Kluyveromyces lactis: one gene and its partners. The protein of the gene in region 5 interacts with the protein of the main gene of each other region in a pairwise test. Links are inferred from orthologs where the notes say so. Each region holds a gene or a part of one and is shown on either strand. Other genes may lie near its edges. The genes, in order: PCF11, PIH1, MTR3, LYS9, LSM8, NOG2 and KLLA0_F03707g.

What was found.
Region 1: the proteins of LSM8 (region 5) and PCF11 interact in a two-hybrid assay, tested with the Saccharomyces cerevisiae proteins (2 studies listed by BioGRID). The link is inferred for Kluyveromyces lactis from reciprocal best matches to the Saccharomyces cerevisiae genes LSM8 and PCF11.
Region 2: the proteins of LSM8 (region 5) and PIH1 interact in a two-hybrid assay, tested with the Saccharomyces cerevisiae proteins (2 studies listed by BioGRID). The link is inferred for Kluyveromyces lactis from reciprocal best matches to the Saccharomyces cerevisiae genes LSM8 and PIH1.
Region 3: the proteins of LSM8 (region 5) and MTR3 interact in a two-hybrid assay, tested with the Saccharomyces cerevisiae proteins (3 studies listed by BioGRID). The link is inferred for Kluyveromyces lactis from reciprocal best matches to the Saccharomyces cerevisiae genes LSM8 and MTR3.
Region 4: the proteins of LSM8 (region 5) and LYS9 interact in a two-hybrid assay, tested with the Saccharomyces cerevisiae proteins (2 studies listed by BioGRID). The link is inferred for Kluyveromyces lactis from reciprocal best matches to the Saccharomyces cerevisiae genes LSM8 and LYS9.
Region 6: the proteins of LSM8 (region 5) and NOG2 interact in a two-hybrid assay, tested with the Saccharomyces cerevisiae proteins (2 studies listed by BioGRID). The link is inferred for Kluyveromyces lactis from reciprocal best matches to the Saccharomyces cerevisiae genes LSM8 and NOG2.
Region 7: the proteins of LSM8 (region 5) and KLLA0_F03707g interact in a two-hybrid assay, tested with the Saccharomyces cerevisiae proteins (2 studies listed by BioGRID). The link is inferred for Kluyveromyces lactis from reciprocal best matches to the Saccharomyces cerevisiae genes LSM8 and YNL050C.

What each region holds. Positions count from the first base shown.
Region 1 is NC_006042.1:1,243,916-1,247,625, reverse strand, and holds PCF11 (Pcf11p), read left to right. Parts: upstream 1-1,446; coding exon 1,447-3,210; downstream 3,211-3,710. Other genes in the region: GGC1 (Ggc1p), read right to left, coding at 78-980; KLLA0_F13420g (chromatin-silencing protein SIR4), read right to left, coding at 3,481-3,710. UniProt on the Saccharomyces cerevisiae protein: Component of the cleavage factor IA (CFIA) complex, which is involved in the endonucleolytic cleavage during polyadenylation-dependent pre-mRNA 3'-end formation and cooperates with cleavage factor NAB4/CFIB and the cleavage and polyadenylation factor (CPF) complex.
Region 2 is NC_006039.1:884,531-887,315, forward strand, and holds PIH1 (Pih1p), read right to left. Parts: upstream 1,503-2,785; coding exon 501-1,502; downstream 1-500. Other genes in the region: PRO1 (glutamate 5-kinase), read left to right, coding at 1-370; ERC1 (Erc1p), read left to right, coding at 1,860-2,785. UniProt on the Saccharomyces cerevisiae protein: Involved in pre-rRNA processing and required for the NOP58-snoRNA interaction.
Region 3 is NC_006042.1:1,688,687-1,691,099, reverse strand, and holds MTR3 (exosome non-catalytic core subunit MTR3), read left to right. Parts: upstream 1-1,202; coding exon 1,203-1,913; downstream 1,914-2,413. Other genes in the region: CHO2 (phosphatidylethanolamine N-methyltransferase), read right to left, coding at 2,095-2,413.
Region 4 is NC_006039.1:1,663,010-1,665,975, reverse strand, and holds LYS9 (saccharopine dehydrogenase (NADP+, L-glutamate-forming)), read left to right. Parts: upstream 1-1,128; coding exon 1,129-2,466; downstream 2,467-2,966. Other genes in the region: OCA4 (Oca4p), read left to right, coding at 1-100; KLLA0_C18755g (uncharacterized protein), read right to left, coding at 708-1,064; MSO1 (Mso1p), read left to right, coding at 2,869-2,966.
Region 5 is NC_006041.1:1,467,258-1,469,210, forward strand, and holds LSM8 (U4/U6-U5 snRNP complex subunit LSM8), read right to left. Parts: upstream 792-1,953; coding exon 501-791; downstream 1-500. Other genes in the region: methylthioribulose 1-phosphate dehydratase MDE1, read left to right, coding at 1-462; TDA10 (putative ATP-dependent kinase), read right to left, coding at 1,830-1,953. UniProt on the Saccharomyces cerevisiae protein: Component of the nuclear LSM2-LSM8 complex, which is involved in spliceosome assembly. The LSM2-LSM8 complex plays a role in the biogenesis of the spliceosomal U4/U6-U5 tri-snRNP complex by accelerating PRP24-mediated annealing of U4/U6 di-snRNA.
Region 6 is NC_006039.1:1,670,945-1,674,947, reverse strand, and holds NOG2 (putative GTPase NOG2), read left to right. Parts: upstream 1-1,481; coding exon 1,482-2,288; intron 2,289-2,768; coding exon 2,769-3,503; downstream 3,504-4,003. Other genes in the region: RNA-binding ATPase activator ESF2, read left to right, coding at 231-1,112; CCR4-NOT core DEDD family RNase subunit POP2, read left to right, coding at 3,958-4,003. UniProt on the Saccharomyces cerevisiae protein: GTPase that associates with pre-60S ribosomal subunits in the nucleolus and is required for their nuclear export and maturation.
Region 7 is NC_006042.1:350,139-352,785, reverse strand, and holds KLLA0_F03707g (uncharacterized protein), read left to right. Parts: upstream 1-1,325; coding exon 1,326-2,147; downstream 2,148-2,647. Other genes in the region: KLLA0_F03729g (uncharacterized protein), read left to right, coding at 1-1,070; Golgi transport complex subunit COG5, read right to left, coding at 2,193-2,647.

The DNA of each region.
Region 1 (3,710 bases), on a different chromosome or scaffold from region 5:
TATACATATAGAAAAAAAGAATTGAATAGTAGCAATTAATAACATTATTTACATGAATTTGTATTTGAATCCAAGGTTTATTTCTTAGAGACCAAGTTATCAAAGATTGGAATCAAAGTTTGAGCCAGAGCGAAGGAGAACACTAACTTTGGACCGGTGGTCAGTAGCTTAGGAGTCAAACCCTTGAAGAATGCAGTGAAACCTTCGTTCTTCAAAGTGTTCTTGATAATTTTGAAACCACTCTCTGGGTTATCAAAGTTTCTATTTTGAATTCTGGTCTTGATAACATCCAATGGTGCACTGACAATTAATGAAGCAGAAGCACCAACAATCGAAGAGACGAAGTTCTGACTCCAAGTAGCTTGACCGTAATCCTTCAAACCCAAGATATATTCCTTGGCGAAGGCGTTACCACCGAATAAAGCGAAAGAACCTGGAGCGTTTCTGGCAGCGGTCCAACCCCAACCACGGTACAAACCAAACCCTTCATCCTTGATGATCTTTAGGAAACCTCTACCCTTGAAAGACTCTGGGTTAGTTTGTCTCTTGATCTTCAAGACATCCAATGGCAATAGCACAATTTCACCGATACCGATCAAAGAACCGGCAGTAGCAGATCTCAAGGCTTTACCGGTCTTTTCACCAAAAGCTTGATCGAAATCACCCTTGAAGTTCTTGTTCAAAAACTCATTGGCAAATGGTTGACCACCGTACTTGTAAACACGTTGCAAGATCTTATAGGCAGCAGCGTACCCCAAACCAGGGAACAAAGACAACAAACGTCTACCCAATGGTTCAGATGCAAAGTCACGGAAAATAACACTGTTCAATTGAGAGGTCGAGGCAATCTTGGTATGGTTTGACATCAATCTCTTGGAAATAGTGTCCACAGGATGGAAAACACCAATTTCCAAGATACCAGCAGAAGCTGAACCTAAGACACGGGCCAAACCCGATTGTTTCTTATCGTTGGTAGTCATCTTTTTTTCCAGCTCTTCTTAGTTCAAATGGATAAGAAATTAAAAGAAAGACCCTTTTCACCTAGTGAGATTCCTGCTTCTACTCTTAATAAACGTTGTTGAAAGTTTCGCACGAGAAAGAAAGGAGCCAGATGCACGTAAAGGCAAGATAGATAAAAACAGTGATGATTCATTCTTGAAAGAATCTTTGATCGATATCTCGAAAGGTTTTTTTTAAAAGAAAAAAGTGTGGTTTCGTTACCCGGATCTGGTGATGTTTTCGGTTTTTCTTTCAACCGAGCAAAACGTTACAAGATGCAGGATTAGGATAAGGAAACCTTTAAAGACGATGAGCAGAGGCAAGGAATAGAGGCCGTATGATTCATTATTTGAGCGCTTACTAGTATCCAGAGGCTTAGTTTGTGGTAATAGTAATTGTTTGCTATATTTTGGTACACTTTTTTCCGAGTTTTGTTGGGATTTCTCTATGAGTTCTGAAGATGGTTCTAATGCGTTAGAGGAGTTTAAGACCACTTTGGATGGTCTTACGTTTAACTCTCGGCCTATAATTACTACCTTGACGCAGTTAGCAGAGGAACATATGAGTTTAGCACAAGAGTTTGTGGGTTTGATTGAAAATAGACTGGAGAAATGTGTTCCTAGTCAGAAGCTTTTCACTTTCTATGTAATGGATTCTATCTGTAAGAACGCTGGTTCTCCGTATACGATCTATTTCTCTAAGAATTTGCATAAATTGTTCCGTAAAACTTATTTACTTGTGGATAATCAGACTAGAACCAAGATGATTTCAATGTTCAAAACGTGGATGGTGCCATTGCCTGCAGGAGACTTGATGTTCGATCATAGTTCTTTGAACAGCATCGAGAATTTTTTGATTAAGGCTAGTGCGTTGCATCAGAAAAGTGCTACTCCGCCGGCGATACAACAACATACCGCTCACAACGGACCGGCTGGGTCGAATATTACTGTGAAATCGTTACTGTCGGATATTGATAAATTAGCGCTGATTACGCAGTCGAAGCTAGTAAGTACACCGGATGACGCCAAGTTGCAGGCAAAAGTAGCGATATTGAAGCAGTTGAGACAAGAGTTGCAGAAGGAACGGTTGGCACCGGAGTTTTTGTCGCAAGTTCATCAGCAGCTCAAACAGATTTTTGCGCAAGAACATCAACAGCAACAACAACAACAGCAGCAGCAGCAGTTGCCATTACAAAATAACTCTCAGTTTCTGCCGCCATCATCTCAAGGTTCTGTAAACAATGATATGTCTCGTGGCTCACTCCAGGCGAACGGTAACAACGGCTCGATGTTCGGAGGAAGCCTTCAATTTAATGCTCCATTTTTGAACCAACTGACCAACTCTAACCGTCTCAATAAGCTTTCTAGTTTGGTTAACATGTTGAGAGAAAAAGAGCTCTTGCATGAACCTGGAGAAGCATCTATTACTACCTTAGCTGCCAAATTAGAACCTGAATTTGATTCCTCCAAGACAGTGCAACTACCGTCATATTCACTTTTACAGGATATTCTAGGTGATCTAGAGGCGCAACGCCAGACGCAAAACCTAGATATTTTGAACGCATCTGTCCTTCAGCTTTCTCAACAGTTTGTTCTTAATGATAACCATCCAATTACGGAAAAGTTGGTACATTTCTTATATCGGGCAAAACCTAATAAATGTAGTATATGTGGTAAGAGATTTGGTAATACTCTTGAAGAAAAGGAGTTGGAAATACAACATCTTGATTGGCATTTCCGTGTCAACAAGAAGATTAAAGGTATCCAGTCCAACACCACTACATCTACCAAGGTCATTCAATCCAGGAATTGGTATTTGGATGAAAATCAATGGGCAGACTTTAAAGAAGAAGACATCATTGCAACAGATATTGATACTGGAGCTGCTGAACAGCAACCTACATTTGCGAACAACAGGGAAGATTCTACTGATGCAATCTATACTAAACTCAGGAATAAATATATTGTAGTACCGGATTATGCCACAGATATGAAGTTCCAGTGTCCTATTTGTACCGAATCCACATATGGTAAATATGATGAAGATCTGGGAGAATGGATTTGGAGCAACTGCGTACAGGTGGGAGACAAATTCTTCCATGCCACTTGTTATTATGAGGCAGCTAAAAGTCAACAGTCAAACACCTCCTCATCTCCATCATTCCAAAATCTTCAATTAGATCTTGGTATTTTTAACGAGCTGCTTCAATGAGTTGATGAATAGCTAGTGCTGATCAATTGTATATTCGAACTCTAGTTGGCTTATCGGCATGAATTTCGTACCATTTTCTTCTACAAATTTCGTTCTAAATGGAAGTACGAATATAATATAGTGCTATATGGTATTTATATATATATATACTTCCTAAATGTTACAACTGCATTATAGAAAACATATGCTATTTCATTACGGCTATCTATTGCATAGAAGTGCTTTGGATTTTGTTTTTCTTCTTACGGGAATTCTTTATCTCGACACGCTTTAATTCGGATCACGTTCCTTCGACTCAGCTTGGTTCTTCAAAATAGCGGTAAGTTTCTTGCGTTCCTTCAGTAACCGAACGATGGTTTCTTTGAGTGCGACGGGATCCTCCCCGTTAGGCCGAGGTTTATCGACTTTCTGGGATTTTGACGAATATTCTTCGTAACGGTCCACTTTTTCTTTAGACTGACTCAACGCTGTTTCAAGATCCTTGACTTTAGCTGTCATGT
Region 2 (2,785 bases), on a different chromosome or scaffold from region 5:
CTTGAAGAACAGACAATTCTGGATGCTTCATGGACTCGTCAGTCAAGGCGCTGTAATTATAGACATTGGTGCATACGAAGCGTTAACGAGGAAAAACAAAGCTGGTTTGTTACCTGCAGGCGTTATTGAAGTCCAAGGGAGCTTCCATGAACATGAATGTATAGATATAAAATTGGGAGTCAGGGATTCAGATGGAAATTTGGATAAATCCGTTGCACTGAAAACAGTAGGTAGGGCTCGTTGCAACTATACAAGCACAGAGTTATCAAAAATTAAAGGTCTGCAAAGTGATCAGATTGAAGATATTCTAGGCTATGCTGATAGTGAATACGTAGCTCATAGGGAAAATTTAGCATTCCCTCCTCATTAACCTAAAGTGAATGAAAATATACTTTACATGTTACGTTTAACTCTCATACACGTAGCCCTTTAATAAAAGCATATATAGATAATCGAACATCTTGCATCAATTTATATATATATACGGCCATATTGAGATTTTATAAAAATATTATTAATCTGCGCTCAGGCTTCACAAAGAAACACTCTAATTTTGGAGGATTATTAAATATATCAGGTAATGGAACCTTGAGTTTCTTCTCGGGATAAATACCTAGATTAGTATTCTTTATGATGAGTTTATTACTTTTAGCATCATATTTGATATTGTAATCAAGACTAGAGTTAAGCTCCGAGGTCACTTCTATCTTTAAGAGAAACTCTGAGGTGTCTTTGGGTTTGCCCATACTAAGTTCATATGATATACTTTTTTTTTGTATTTCTTCAACCTTGGGTTTCTTGGTTTCATGCAGTGAAAGATCCTCGATTTCCTCTATTAAAGGTTTTCTACGGGAAGATTGGTCGATAGGAATTAATGGCGGCAGTTCACCCGTCGAAGGTTCGTCTTCTGCAAGAAAGTCTCGCCTCTTTTCGATAATACTAACAGGTTCTTTTTGTTCCCTATTTACCAAATCATTGATGGTTTCTTCATAATTCTCTGTTAGGTCTTCTCGCAGTATTTCTAGTTCAGGTATAGTATCACCTTTCTTCTTCAGCTTAGGGAAACTTATATTATCCCTTGATATTTCGAGCTCCGCTCGCAATTCACAGGATTCTAAGCACCATTCAACTACGATTTCTCTTAGTTGTAAATCATGCTGGATCCATGAAACGCATTTGGTGTTTATACAACAATCGCTCACGTAGCAGACGTTGCCCTTTTTGTCAACATCCTCCCTTATTGAGGAGGTTACGATTGGTATTTCCCATTGGTTGTTGATTATTAGGGGATATACTATGGCGGGGTTGAAATCGATTTCAGGTAAGGGTATCTGGTCATTATGGCAAATGTTGATGAATATCTTTGCATTGCTTGATAGCGATGTAGTACCAGGGTTTATTACCTTAGATTTTACGACAAAACATGGTTCTGGGCTTATTCTTATAACGTTGTTGGAGTTGTTCGAGCTGCTATCATTCAATGGTCGAAGAAGAAATGACATTGCACCTAATTGACGGTATGTACTTTCTTATTCTTTTGTTTTTTTTGTTCCTATCGCAGTTATCTGCTAAGCGATAATATAGAATTTCACAATCAAATTCTTATTAGCGATTATCAAAACTAGTGCTTTTTCAACGTAGATAAGGATCAATTATATGTACACCAAGACGAATAAAAGGTTCGTGTCATCGGAACGTGCTCGGTGGCCGTTCAATCCATACTGCCTGGCTCAATACAACATTTTGGGTATTAATACCTTTAATTCTGGAGATTAGTTTTTTTCATTCCACTGTTAATGGACATTCAAACTGGTTTTAAGATAAAGAAGGGCATTACAGGTTAGTTGAAACAACTAGACATGAATCAAGAGAGTGAGTATCTCTGTGACTCTATGGATAGACCGCGATACGATACAATCAATGACAATACTAGATATGAAAGTGATGGAGAATCTGCATCTTCTGGCGATGCCATAGACAATCGATATCGACTAATGAGTCCAGATGCAGATCGCGATGACTTTATTGACGAAGACTTCATAGAGGATCTTACTGCCCCAACAAGCTCTAGGAATGAAGTCTCCTATATCTTAAGCAACTCCGCTCTAATTACATTAACTTTTCTAATGGAATACTCTTTGGCTATTATTTCTTTATTTGTCATCGGTCATGTCTGTAAATCAAGTGATGCCTTAGCTTCCGCATCTTTGGCGGTAATGACTTACAATATTACTGGTTTAGCATTTGTGGAGGGTATGGCCACTTCTTTGGATACCTTTTGCTCACAAGCGTATGGTGCCAAGAAATATGCAAAAGTTGGTTTATATTCATTCCGTTGTGCAGCGATGATAATGACAGGTATTTTCCCTGTGATTATATCATGGTGGTTCAGTGCTTCATGGTTAGGTTATGTGATTGCTGAACAGGATATCCTCCCAGAGATACAACTTTTCTTGAGAATAATATCGTTTGGGTTGCCAGGGCTGATTTTTTTCGAAACTGGTAAGAGATTCCTTCAATCACAGGGCCATTTCCAAGCAGGAACATACTCCTTGTTGATTACAGTTCCAGTTAATATTATTCTAGTGTATTCATTTACTCGTTACATTGGATATGCTGGTGCTCCTCTAGGTATCGCCATATCGCACTGGTTTATGGCCTTAATGCTACTGGTTTATTGCAAATTTTGGAGAAAGGAAACTCTGATTTGTTGGTATCCCATGTTCTCTTCAATGTTCCACTTTAAAAGATTATTTTGCAGCTGGAAACCTATGTGGAATTTGGC
Region 3 (2,413 bases), on a different chromosome or scaffold from region 5:
TACATTAAGTTCAATATACTCGTTGTTCCCTATGTAAAGATGTATGTTGGCCTTATTCAACGGCTTTCTGCCTTGATGTTCTTGTTTTTACGATTCAATCTCTCTTAGATTGTTAGTTTTTGTTCAAGAAAAAAGATTGTAGGTTAACTGTCATTCATGATATTCTGTCCTACTGCAACTTGTTTGAATCAATGGACATTCCAAGTTATATGGTTAGACTTTGAGCAATATTCGCAGAGTAGTTTGATTTTAATCAGAGTCCTGGGCTATTGGTGGGGTGTAATATCAAAAATCTTTATAATTTCTGCCAGATGCCTGGAAGAAACGTTACACTAACAGAGTCGGTTTAATTCAAAAATGTACTTTGGTCATCCTTTTCTTCGGTGGTTCAACCAATGAACGAATGACTTGCCTTGATTCTTGAAACCTATGCATGAAAGAGCTTCTGGTGAGAGCATTAGCGAGGGTTCGGCTTTCGATCTGGTCCAAGTGAATAGCTTCTGACTTTGTCTTGATGATACACCCAGAAACGATACTGGCTTTTGTATGTACGACTGGCAAGGCGGGTTAGAGTGGGGTGTTTTAGTTGCCAAATCCCAGGTTGTGAGGGGGGGGTCTCCGTCTGCCCCTCCACCGGTTTGCGAAAACGGTCACCTGGCATGAACCGGAAACAAGTGCTGTTTGGAAACATATGAGAAACATATGAGAAACACCAGTTAGTCACGTGGTTATATAACTTCACAAAGCAGTTCTCTCCGTTTCCTTCTGACGTATGAGGTGATGAGCCGAAAGCTAGTACACGACTCTTTTTCAGAAATACGGATCTATTACTATTTACTGGTTTGACAATACCGGGCGACAGCCACTTCTTCTGTTTAGAAATCATTTCACACGTACTGATCGTCGGTTGATTTGTAAAAAAGTTCCAATGCTGCCTGCCGATAATTTGGAAACAAGTACGGTACGGAAACAAACGGGAAACAAATAGGAAACACATATATATTATCACGTGATGACGTTAGAATTTTTCCATCTCGACTATTTCAATCGTGGTATTCTGTTAGTGACCGTTTTGCAAGTGAATATACATGCGATGAGATGCTTCCAAGTTGACGTTGGCTAGTGCCATATCAGCATATATTTACTTGAGTTTGTTTCCCATCGTTATATTAAACTAATACCCACAGAAGAGAGGTCTATTAATGAGTGTGCAAGATAGAAGAAGAATATTAGGGCCAGCAGAAGCGAAGCCATTGCAGTTTGCTGCAATTACTCCTGTAAGAACCGTAGAGAACAGGGACGATGGTAATGGTAATAAATCGGGTAAGGAATCTGTGTTCATTAGTACGGATTTAGTAACGAATGCAAATGGTTCCTCATACCTAGAATATATGGATGGTACTTCGGATCAAGTTCTCGTAATGAGTTCTGTCTTCGGACCCAGGCCATTGCGAGGCTCCTTCCAATCTAAGGCATCAGTATCGATTCAGTTCAAAGAAGTTACGTTAGAACATTTGAATACCGGAGAAATTAAAGAAATTTGTACTTTCCTAACAAATGTCTTTAATGCGGTGATAAACGTTGAGAAGTATCCAAAATCTGGTATTGATATCTTTATAGATTTGATCCAGCATTCTAATAGTAATCCAACAGAGGAGGCAAATATCGTTAATATTCTACCCACATGCATTAATTCTATTACCATGGCTCTTGTAGACGCAGGTATTGAAATCATTGATTTAGTGAGTGCCGGGTCAAAAGATAACTCTGTGGTTGCGTTTATTAGGAATGGACATGAAATCGTCGGTATTTGGAGCGATGACGATAACGTCACTGACATATCAAAATTAATAGAAGAGTGCAAGGCAAAATATTTGGTAAATAAGCAGACTTTGGTTCAATATCTTAAATGAAATGAAATGGTTAACGTAATTTCATAGTGATTCATAATTAATGTGACACGAACGCTTCTTCTGTATTAGCAAAATAAAAATATACAAGGCTTTACCATTAAGGGTGAGGATTCGTTAGAAACATATCCTATTTATACATGGGTTGATACTTTAGATATAGTTAAGTACAATAGAATGCGATTTATTCCAAGTTATCTAACACTTGCTTGATTTGCCATACTTTTTTGGTGATAATATCGATATCAAAATTGGTACGTTTCATGTAAACAACGGAAACATCGGTGTCCATAGTAGACTTATACCAGTTTTGTAATGTTTTCCCAGTGAAATATTTGTTCCTATTCAAATCAAATTTATTATCATTGATTAGAACACCACATTGTTTCAAGAACTGCTTCGTGGTAGCAATTAATTGGTCCACGTCTTTTACAGTTTCTTTAAATTGAGGGAATAATAACTTGAAAGGTTTCGAGATCATAACAACATCGTGACTGTTAGCA
Region 4 (2,966 bases), on a different chromosome or scaffold from region 5:
AGAGGCATTGCCGAACTGGTTCAAGTTCCAAAGAGACATTTGGGATCAACAGCATGCCGTTGAAGAACACAATCACTACAAAGAGAGTATATTTATATGATGATGCTCTAAAGTAATAAAAAAAAAACAAACACAGACACACGGCTGGTTACTGTTTCTGGCCTTCAAAATAGAAAGGTTGTGAATAAGGTAAGAACGATTAAATTCTTGATCAACAAATCCACTCTGTGGCCAGCCTCCTAACGCTTACAGGACGCTTTCGCATCATGTTGGAAAGAATTAAGAGTCGATATATGGGATTCGTTTACCATGGCTATCTAGAATAATACGTCACAGACATGGAGATAAAGTCCCATGCTGTTTAAGAAACAGAAAGAATATGTATGTGTACAAATATGTAATGTTGTAAAGTGGTGATGAGATGAGATGGGATGCAATTCTGCTACGGACCTTTTTAAAGTGAAAAATTTTTGAAAAATTTTTGTATGGGCGATGAGATGAGCTTTGAGATAAATACACGAAGTGTGTTCATGCCCTAAGGGGGTATGCCAGTGGTGGTGGTGGTGGTAGTGGCCTACACGCCACTACCACCAACTTGATTTCCCCATACCTCAACGTAAATCACGTGCATACCAACGTACACTGACTATCCCATACATGTCTTCAAGTCTTTATCGGAACTCAGTTCCCTCCTCATCGAGCTTCATTCAGTTTGTAGAATGACTAATAGATGGTGGGTTGTCCCCAGACCAGTGGTCCCCCCGTCTGGCTGTCTGGCTGTCTAGCTTTGCCGTTTCGATTGTACCTCGGCTGTCGAAATTCCAATGGAATTTCGCAAAACACATTGGTGAACCGGAACCTGTAAAATTCCATCTCAATGGCACATCGCTCGAGATGGATAACGACAGAGAGCAGGAATAGTGAGTTTTTGATGAGCTGCTACTACTGGTACTACTCTTGTTGATTTGATGATTTACTGACTTTTGTAATATATATATATATATATATATAGTGACTATATAAGTTGAGGTAACAGAATTGCAACCTGCTATCTTTCCTGCCATAATAGACAGATCATCATCTCTTCAAGAAAATACTCTTTCTGTGATCGCAACCAACGTATTAACGATGTCTAAAGTTTTACTTCTTGGATCTGGTTTTGTTGCTCAACCTGTTGTCGACGTTTTGTCCGCTACTGATGGTATTTCAGTCACCGTCGCTTGTAGAACTTTGAACAAAGCTCAAGCTTTGGCCAAAGCTTCTGGTTCTAATGCCATCTCATTGGACGTTTCCGATCCAAAACAATTGGACGCTGCATTGGCTGACCACGATTTGGTGATCTCATTGATCCCATACACTTACCATCCAGCTGTGGTTCAATCTGCTATCAGATTGAAGAAGAACGTTGTTACCTCTTCATACATTTCCGATGCCTTAAGAGAATTGGAACCTGCTATCAAGGAAGCTGGTATCACCGTCATGAACGAAATTGGTTTGGACCCTGGTATCGACCATTTGTACGCTGTCAAGACCATTGACGAAGTGCACAAGGTTGGTGGTAAGATCAAGTCGTTTGTGTCGTACTGTGGTGGTCTACCAGCTCCAGAAGATTCTGACAATCCATTGGGTTACAAGTTCTCTTGGTCTTCAAGAGGTGTCTTGTTGGCATTGAGAAACAGTGCTAAGTACTGGAAAGATGGTAAGATCGAGACTGTGTCATCCGAAGATTTGATGGCCTCAGCTAAGCCTTACTTCATCTACCCAGGTTACTCTTTCGTATGTTACCCAAACAGAGATTCCACTTTGTTCAAAGAATTGTACCATATTCCAGAAGCTGATACCGTCATCAGAGGTACTCTAAGATATCAAGGTTTCCCAGAATTCGTGAAGGCTTTGGTCGATATCGGTATGCTAAAGGACGAACCAAACGAATTGTTTGCTTCTCCACAGCCTTGGAACAAGGCTCTTGCACAATACTTAGGTGCTGCTTCAGAAAAGAAAGAGGATCTAATTAAGGCCATCGATTCAAAGACACAATGGAAATCAGACGACGATAGAGAAAGAATCCTTTCTGGTCTTGCTTGGTTAGGTTTGTTCTCTGACAAGCCATTCAACGCTAGAGGTAATGTCTTGGACACCTTGTGTGCTACTCTAGAGGAATTGATGCAATACGAAGAAGGTGAAAGAGATTTAGTCGTCTTGCAACACAAGTTCGGTATCGAATGGGCCGACGGAACGACTGAAACTAGAACCTCTACTCTAGTGGACTACGGTAAGGTCGGTGGATACTCCTCAATGGCTGCTACTGTCGGTTACCCAGTCGCCATCGCTACTAAATTCGTCTTGGACGGTACCATCAAGGGCCCAGGTTTGGTTGCTCCATACTCTCCAGCTATCAACGATCCTATCATGAAGGAACTAAAGGAGAAATACGGTATTTACCTAAAAGAGAAAACCATTGCTTGAAGCACTCATATACGTTGGTTTGAAATCTAAAGAATGCTCTCTCTGGTAGTGAATTGCATGATTCTTTTTCCCATCTTCTATATATATTAACGTGTACGTATGTATATCAACAAAGTAGCTATATTGCTTTAAATCCCGTTATCTTTGGAGTTACTATTTGTGGCACGTATCGTACTGGTGGGTGTTGTCTATAGTGTGTTATTGGAGTGTTCTTTTTGTATCAGTTACAGTTTGGCATCTCTTCTCATATAATTATAATTAGTTACATATTATAATACTCTCAACAACTACTTGTAAGAAAACATACAGGACTAACAAGGATCAACTGAACGAAGCGAATCAGAACATTTGTCCATCGGTATACTTTACATATTCAGCAGTGAAACATCTTTGGAGCCGATCATGTCGAATAGCAATGGGTCCGGTAATCTGTGGAGCAAAGTGAAGTCAGGAACGAAATCGTTATCCTCATCCATTCAACATCTAGCAGTAAAAACTGA
Region 5 (1,953 bases):
ATTGTTAAATACAATATACAGGACGATACTTATCAATGTGGTGCGCCTGGATTGAAACCCTCTGCGTGCACACCGTTATTCCTGGAGCTATTCAAGACGCTGGGTGCCTCGTGCGTCATACACACGCACTCTATCAATGCGGTGCTTTGTTCAATGATATATGAGAAGGAGTTTACCATCAAGGACATTGAACAAATCAAGGCGATACCCAAAGGTGACGGTACCAATTTGAGGAACGTTGATACCCTACGTATTCCAATCATCGATAACGCTCCAGAAGAACAGGATCTCATGCCAGCGTTGAAGCAAATGATTAAGGATTATCCAAATGCATGTGCGGTACTGGTGAAAAGACATGGACTCTTCGTTTGGGGCCCCACGCCAAAGAAAGCCAAGATATACATCGAGTCCATCGATTACCTCTTTGAAGTAGCTCTCAAAATGAAAGAACTCGGTCAATGAAAGGGAGACCAGCAGCTGTGTATAACATTATTTATATTTCATCTGTTAGCCCATCGCTCACTCCAAATGTCTATTTCTTCTTTAAACGGTAACTTATTCTTACACGCTGGGAACTTCTGAAGTTTTGCCAGTTCTTTTTCTTCTGGTATATCATCTATCAGCCCACATAATACCACTTCACTACTCCGTATAATGCATATCTTGCTGTCCTTTAAAAGAATCATGTTTCCCGCATGATCAAACCCTTTCATTTCACCATAGTATGTGTCTCCATCGACATTGACCAACATCACCTTCTTGTCCAAATAATCTTTCAATAGAGCACTCATTGTCCATTCACTGTTCTAGCAAACAAGGGGGCAGTTATGTGGATATCTTCGCTCCGATGGATCGTTATCTTTTCTTCGTTACTATTATAATTTGAAAGTAATGTTTTCTATTTGAAGATTCTCTATTATCAATAACAACAACATCTTCAACAAAGAAGAATCACACATCATAACAGAAGTATACAGGCTTCTACAGCAGTTATCTAGAGTTGTGTTGTGGCTAATATTGTTAGAAGCTCCGAATCACGGTTGAAATGGCGGAAGAGAATGAAAGTGAGACCGATTACGGGTCTTCTCCCTTTAAAAAGATTCCAGACGCCGACAAACAGATCTTAGAATGGACTAGTCGTCTAGAGTTGGAGACTGTGCAGTTGCGGGACACGTCTGAGAGTCTATTCAAGATTATCAAGGAGAACGTGGATGAATTGAGCCATTCGCGAAAGTTATTCCAAGCAGAACTTGACAGTAGAAAAGGTATGGTTTCTATGCACAATGAAAGGAATATCTACTTAGTATAAGGGCATTTACTTAGTTCTATCTACGTGGATTGGTCGTTGATTGATACCCTTTAGGAATGATTCTTTGTAAGAGTCACTACGGTCAGTTTTTACTAACTAGGAAAATAACGGATGAGACTCCGAGAAGTCGCCGTTATTTCTGTGTGTATTTAGATGGTAATCAAGAAACGGGAACGGAGATTGTCTCTGAAGTAAAGTCTCGTTTGGATCAATTAAAGGCATCAAGCGGTGAAAGTTTGCAACTTTTAGCGGATAATATTACGAAGCAGATGGATAAACGACATCGAGAATGGATGGACAGATTTACCATGAATGAAAATGTCATGTTCAATGTCGTGCAACAAATGCAAGACCTCACGGATGCCATCCAGACGTTGCATGAAGATATGAGGTTAGCTAGCAAGAGGCAGGCGTTGCTTGAGAAAAGATTGAGACATGAATCTATCGCTACGCCTGAATCTCAACACCTAAATCAAAACCAGACACAACGACTCAGGGTATTAATCCCCTGGGAAGAAGTTCAAGAGTGCGAAATGAAATGATTGACCACATTTCTGTCGGCATCGATGGCAATGGTAAGATTTGTTTTGCCGAACGCGGTGTTCGGGTCAATGAAGTTTTTATAATATAGTTCATAACAAGGC
Region 6 (4,003 bases), on a different chromosome or scaffold from region 5:
ATCTCCGGCCATACAGGCTGCAAACACCGGCTACAGACCCGTTACTTCATTGTGGTATCGGTCCGTCGTCCAGTACGATTGGTTCCCATTTCTTCTGTACAGTGAGTGCCATACTGAAAAATTTGGAACTAAAGCGATGAGATGAGATGAGATGAGATGAACCATATACATGAGAGAAGAGACAACAGACCACAAGGTTCAGCAGGTTAACTAAGGACAACAATAACACGATGAGCAAGGAGTACAGCGATGTGGATGATTTTGCGTCAGACGAAGAAGAGGACAACCAAGTGTTGATCACTGGGAAGGATGCGAAGAAGAATGTGATTCAGTTTGATCAAGAAGAGGACGAGGAAGAGCAAGAGGAAGAGGACGAGGAAGTACAGGATGAAGAAGAACCGGAGGATAAGGTAGTACAACTCACAGAACAGCAGATAGAGAAAGAAAAGCAGAGACGACTCAAAAAGCTTAAGAGCGATAAGAAGACGAAACACAAGACCGGTGTGGTTTACCTATCGAGGGTTCCACCGTACATGAAACCAGCCAAGCTAAGGCAGATTCTCACAAGATTCGGTGAAGTGGACCGTCTGTTCTTGAAACGTGAAGAGGAGCACAAGCACCAGCAGCGTGTCAAGAGTGGTGGGAACAAGAAAACGATGTTTGAAGAAGGTTGGGCCGAGTTTATCAGAAAGAAGGACGCTAAACTGTGCGCATCGACTCTAAACGGTAATATTATCGGTGGTAAGAAGGGAAATTTCTACCATGACGACGTCATGAACGTTAAATACTTGCCCGGGTTCAAATGGGCCGATTTGACAGAACAAATCGCTAGAGAAAACGATATCAGACAAGCAAAGCTACAATTGGAAATCTCACAGGCCAACAAGTTGAACGCAGAGTTCATCCATAACGTAGAGAAATCAAAGATGGTCAACAAGATGAAACAGAGCAAGAAACGTAACCAACAAGAATCACAGCAGGTCGATGAAGAAGTTCGCAGGACTTTCAAACAGAGGAAAGTCGCTTCGACAAGAGCATCTGCTCCAGATTCTCAGAGACAATCCCAACCGCAATCGAAAGCACTCAACGATGTCATGCATAGTTTATTCTAAGATGACTATATAACACATATATAAAGCATATAGCCAAGCCAAAAGCCCTACAGAGAGTACAACTCATCGCCTGCCATTCCCATGGTCAAAGATCAGGTTTCTTTTTCATTCCCATAGTGTAAGAAAAAGTGAAAAGAAAAAATTTTCCAGCTCATCTCATCTCATCTCATGAATTGGAACAGGAACAAAGGCAGGTTCATCAGTGGTTTGTTTCGATTCAGGTTGATCTCAGTCCAGGCAAGAGACATTCAGTTACTTATTCTTCCATCTGTTTGAGTTTTCGATCGAAATTGAACGTGTTCGTTACCACAAAGAACGAACAAACGAACGAACCAAAGGAAACCTAATTGAAATCTATACCAAGGCACAATGGGTACCGGTAAGAAGGAAAAGCAAAGGAGAATCCGCGAAGGTAATACCAAGGATGGTAACCTTCGTGTGAAGGGTGAGAATTTCTACAGGGACACCAAGAGAGTGCAGTTTTTGAACATGTACAAAGGTGGTAGATCTGTTCGTAATGCAAAGGGTGACATTATCAAGGCTGCTCCGTTGCAGGATACTGCTGCTCCAACAGCAAGAGTGGCTCCTGACCGTAGATGGTTTGGTAATACCAGAGTTATTTCTCAGGATTCATTGAGCCATTTCAGAGAAGCTTTGGGCGAGAACAAGCGTGATTCTTATCAGGTGCTATTGAGAAGAAATAAACTTCCGATGTCGTTGTTGAACGAAAAGGATTCCGCTGAATCTCCAACGGCAAAGATTTTGGAGACAGAGCCCTTTGAACAAACTTTTGGGCCTAAGGCTCAGAGGAAGAAACCAAGAATCGCTGCGTCGTCGTTGGAAGAGTTGATTTCAAGTACTTCTACCGATAATAAGACTTTTGAAGAAAAGCAAGAATTGGATTCTACTCTGGGGCTTATGGGTAAGCAAGAGGAAGAAGACGGTTGGACGCAGGCAGCAAAGGAAGCCATTTTCCACAAAGGTCAGTCGAAACGTATTTGGAACGAATTGTACAAGGTTATCGATTCCTCCGATGTCGTCATCCACGTATTGGATGCTAGAGATCCTTTGGGGACTCGTTGTAAATCGGTGACTGATTACATGACCAATGAGACTCCTCATAAACATTTGATATACGTCTTGAACAAGTGTGATCTTGTTCCTACATGGGTTGCCGTATGTTTTAAACTTTCTTTTTAATCTTCAGTGATTACTACTAACCGATTATACTTTCTAACTGGGAGTGAATACCACAGTATCTTGAGAATACCAAAATTCTTTGTCAGGGTGTTTCTGCGTACATTCTAGTACAACTTACACATACAGAAGGGCCTGTTACAGTTTTGGAAGAGCAATACTACCCACCCTCGATCTATCCATCGTTTTGATGGAGTCATGGTTGAAACCTAGTTGAACAATCTTCGTTTTGAGGATATATCAGCGCTTTTATTTCGGGTACGGAGGAACTTAAGAGTTGAGCTTTGGATCTGAAAAGAATTATTATGCCATGGCTCGTAGTAAAGAACCTCACATCACCACTAATATACTCAATACAGCATGGAGTCAACCCCCAGTAGAAAGCATAATTGGTTATTGATTCACATATGTGATTACAATTTTACTAACACGATTTTCCCTATTTTTGATTCTCAACAGGCAGCATGGGTAAAACATCTATCGAAGGAACGTCCCACATTGGCATTCCATGCCTCTATTACCAATTCATTTGGTAAGGGTTCGTTAATTCAACTTCTACGTCAATTCTCACAACTGCATAAGGACAGACATCAAATCTCTGTTGGGTTCATTGGATATCCAAACACCGGTAAATCCTCAATCATCAACACTCTAAGGAAAAAGAAGGTCTGTCAAGTGGCACCTATTCCTGGTGAAACTAAGGTGTGGCAATACATAACTTTGATGAAGAGAATCTTTTTAATCGATTGTCCCGGTATTGTACCGCCATCCAGCAAGGACAGTGAAGAGGATATTCTATTCAGAGGTGTGGTAAGAGTTGAACACGTTTCGCATCCTGAACAATACATTCCAGGTATTCTAAAACGTTGTAAGAGACAACATTTGGAAAGAACCTATGAGATCTCCGGATGGAAAGACTCTGTAGATTTCATCGAAATGATTGCAAGAAAGCAAGGTAGACTATTGAAAGGTGGTGAACCAGATGAAAGCGGGGTATCGAAACAAATCTTGAACGATTTCAACAGAGGTAAGATCCCATGGTTCGTACCACCACCAGAGAAGGACAAGATTGAGGAAAAGGAACCTGGTGATAAGAAACGTCCTGCAGAGGAAAATCAAGAAGATCAAGAAGAGGAAGAGAAGGAGCAAGAGGAACAAGAAGAACCTGTTTCTAAAAAGGCCAAAAAGGAATAAACCAAACACTTCCTCAATATTTAATTCTCTCCAGACACGGGCATCGCTTTATATATAGACACACCATATACAATCTTATCGGATCTATCGTTTTTGTACATTAATATCAATCGGATGACTTAGGCTAAGTCTTGCACATAGAAATTTATTAAATAAATAGTAGAAAGGCTGGATAACACCGAACGTTGTGAAGCATGCAGATCAGGGGCAGAAACACTGGACAATGGACCCATTCGGGTCCACTGTCCATTGAGAAGTGGTGCCAGTGGTAATATCAACACCGTACACAATGACATTTCCCTCGAAAATTCTGTTTCTGCCAAAGAGGAACGAAACAGGAAAGCCTTTAGCATTAGATAAGGAAGAGACAGAGACATATATGGTTGGAATACGATTCAATTCTGATTTAAGAGTTGTCATTTAGGACTACTCCAGTAAGTACGATAGAATTTTAATGCAATCTCTTAATAGTCAGCTCGGAGGATTGCCAAATTCGGAGC
Region 7 (2,647 bases), on a different chromosome or scaffold from region 5:
TGAAAATGACCGGATTTTACGGTCATTTCTTCAATAGATCTTCAGACTTGTGCGCTTTGGCTACGGTTCCAAGGGACCAATCATACGTTTTTGAAATTGGTATCGATGAACAATTAACAAAGGACTTTGTGTACATTCAAATTGCTTTATTATTGACATCCAATGCTGCCCAAAGAAGAATTAGAGTCATAACTATTGGTATTCCAACTACTGATAAGCTAACTGAAGTCTATGCTTCTGCAGATCAGTTGGCCATCACAGCATACTTCGCTCAAAAGGCTGTGGAAAGAGCTCCTTCTTCTGGCTTTGAAGACACTAGAGAATTTTTCAACAAATCTGTCCAAGAGGTTTTGGCTACATACAAGAAAGAAGTTTTGACTTCAAACACAGGTGGCGGAGCTCCATTAATGCTCTGTAGTAACCTAAGAATGTGGCCTCTATTGATGCATTCTCTAACTAAACATATGGCTTTCCGTTCTGGTATTGTTCCGGCTGATCACAGAGCTCAAGCATTAAATAATCTTGAAACGTTACCATTGCCATATTTGATTCAAAACATTTATCCAACAGTATACTCCTTACATGACATGCCTGACGAAGCTGGTCTTCCCGATGAAGAAACTGGTGAAATTGTACTACCGCAACCAATTAACTCCACCTCGTCTTTATTGGAAAGATACGGTCTGTATTTAATCGACACAGGATTGGACATGTTCTTATGGATTGGCGGTGATGCTGTCCCAGAGCTTGTTACAGACGTGTTTGGAACCCCGGACATTATGGAAATTCCAATTGGTAAAAATGAACTACCTCTATTAGACGCTACTGAGTTCAACCTAAGAGTGAGGAATGTTATTACAAAGATAAGAGAACACGATGATGTTATCTTCTACAAAACCTTGCACATTGTCAGAGGCGCCTCACCAAGTGAACCAATGAACCATCCTTCTGCCAGGGAAGTTGCTTCTCTAAGATTATGGACTGCATCTCAGTTGGTCGAAGATAAGGTCCAAAACAGCTGGAACTACAGAGAATTCTTACAAAACATGAAGACAAGAATCTCGAAGTAAGTTTAAAAGGTGCTTCCAAGTTGCGTACATACCATTTTTTATGTAGATATTGAAACCATGAAATAGCAAAATCTTACTTTGCACACAACCTTACACAAGTGATATGTATAACATAAGAATACATGTTTGTCATTACAAACTATCTGTGGCTACTTTCGACTGTCTGTCATCTTACACCTATTGCCAATATGCTAAAAAAAATATACATGTATATATAAGATCAAAAAGTTAGTCAAAATATGACGATACGAGGAGATGAGATGTAATCTGCGTATCTTTTCATCATCATCTCAGGAACACCTTGCAAAGCTCAACAAATCAATCATGTCTGGTTTGAGAGTTGTTTCGAGAAATGAGCTCTTTGATACCACGACTAACGTTACAGCGACTGATGATCGTGTAGTGCTGCCGAAGCTTGATCTAGAATTCGTCGACGTTCAAACTCAACAAGAAGACAATATAAAGTCGGACAGAAATGATGAATCGGATGTTAACAATTCCGCAGAAGAGTTTGAATTCCCACTATTCTCTTTTGGAACCATTACCGATTCAACAACCCCCGCGAATGATGTTGGCGAAAGTGTACAGACAGATGAAAACAGAGGTAGAAAGGCAACGGCCCTAATAAAGGTCAGCCTTCGTGAACCGAGTCCAGACTCAGCTCCAATAGGTAGAGCAAGAACGTATTACTGTGCAGAATATTCAGAGCAGGACAGACATAACTTTTCTGCAGCCGCAGTGTCTGCAGATGTAATATTAAAATATGCTGAGCTGGGACCGTATCCCGGATGGCTTCAGTTCAGAGGAAAAGTAATAGATGTAGATGAGCATAATCGTAAAGTCCACACAGAGCAGGTTCGTATCAGGCATTTACGGAGAAAAAGGCCAGGTAAAAGGCAGAGAATGGCAAGATTACACGGTAAAGAGAGAGAAGATCTGAGGAAGCAAAGAGATTCAGAGATAAAGAAGCTACTAAAGAAGAAGTTCCATAAGCGTGGGGGAAAGAAAAACAAAAAGAAGGCTACGAACCCCCTTGCAGATGCAGGTGCTATAAGTAAGGCGAAGGCTAAACCATAAAGGACCAGTCTTGTTACTCTATATATACAAATATAAGCCTGATTTTTATTTCCTGTTTGTATCTAATATACTAACGGCTTTCAAGATATACTGCAGTTCGCCTTGTAGTTCATTACTAGGGTCATTTTCACCGAAGCATTTACTAATGGCTTCATATATTAGATTGGAATTGCTTTGCAGAGATTTCCCGACAGGTCCACCGCGATTGTAGGACATTTCGAAATCTCTTTTGAAACTATTAGTGACTTTTGACCAAAATTGATCGATCAACGAGGAAAATTTCCTTTGAGATAGGTAATTGCGAAGAGTGTTCGTATTTCCTTCAATCTCACATTCTTCCATTAAGTTCTGTAAAGTGAGTATCGAGTTTCTATTTTCCATGGCATCATCTAATGACAGGTTGAAGTTTCTAATGGATGTGATGGTCTTAGATAGCACTTGAGCCGTCGTTTGAATTTTTGAACTGAGTACTTTGTCAATTGTATCAAAAAGATCTACTG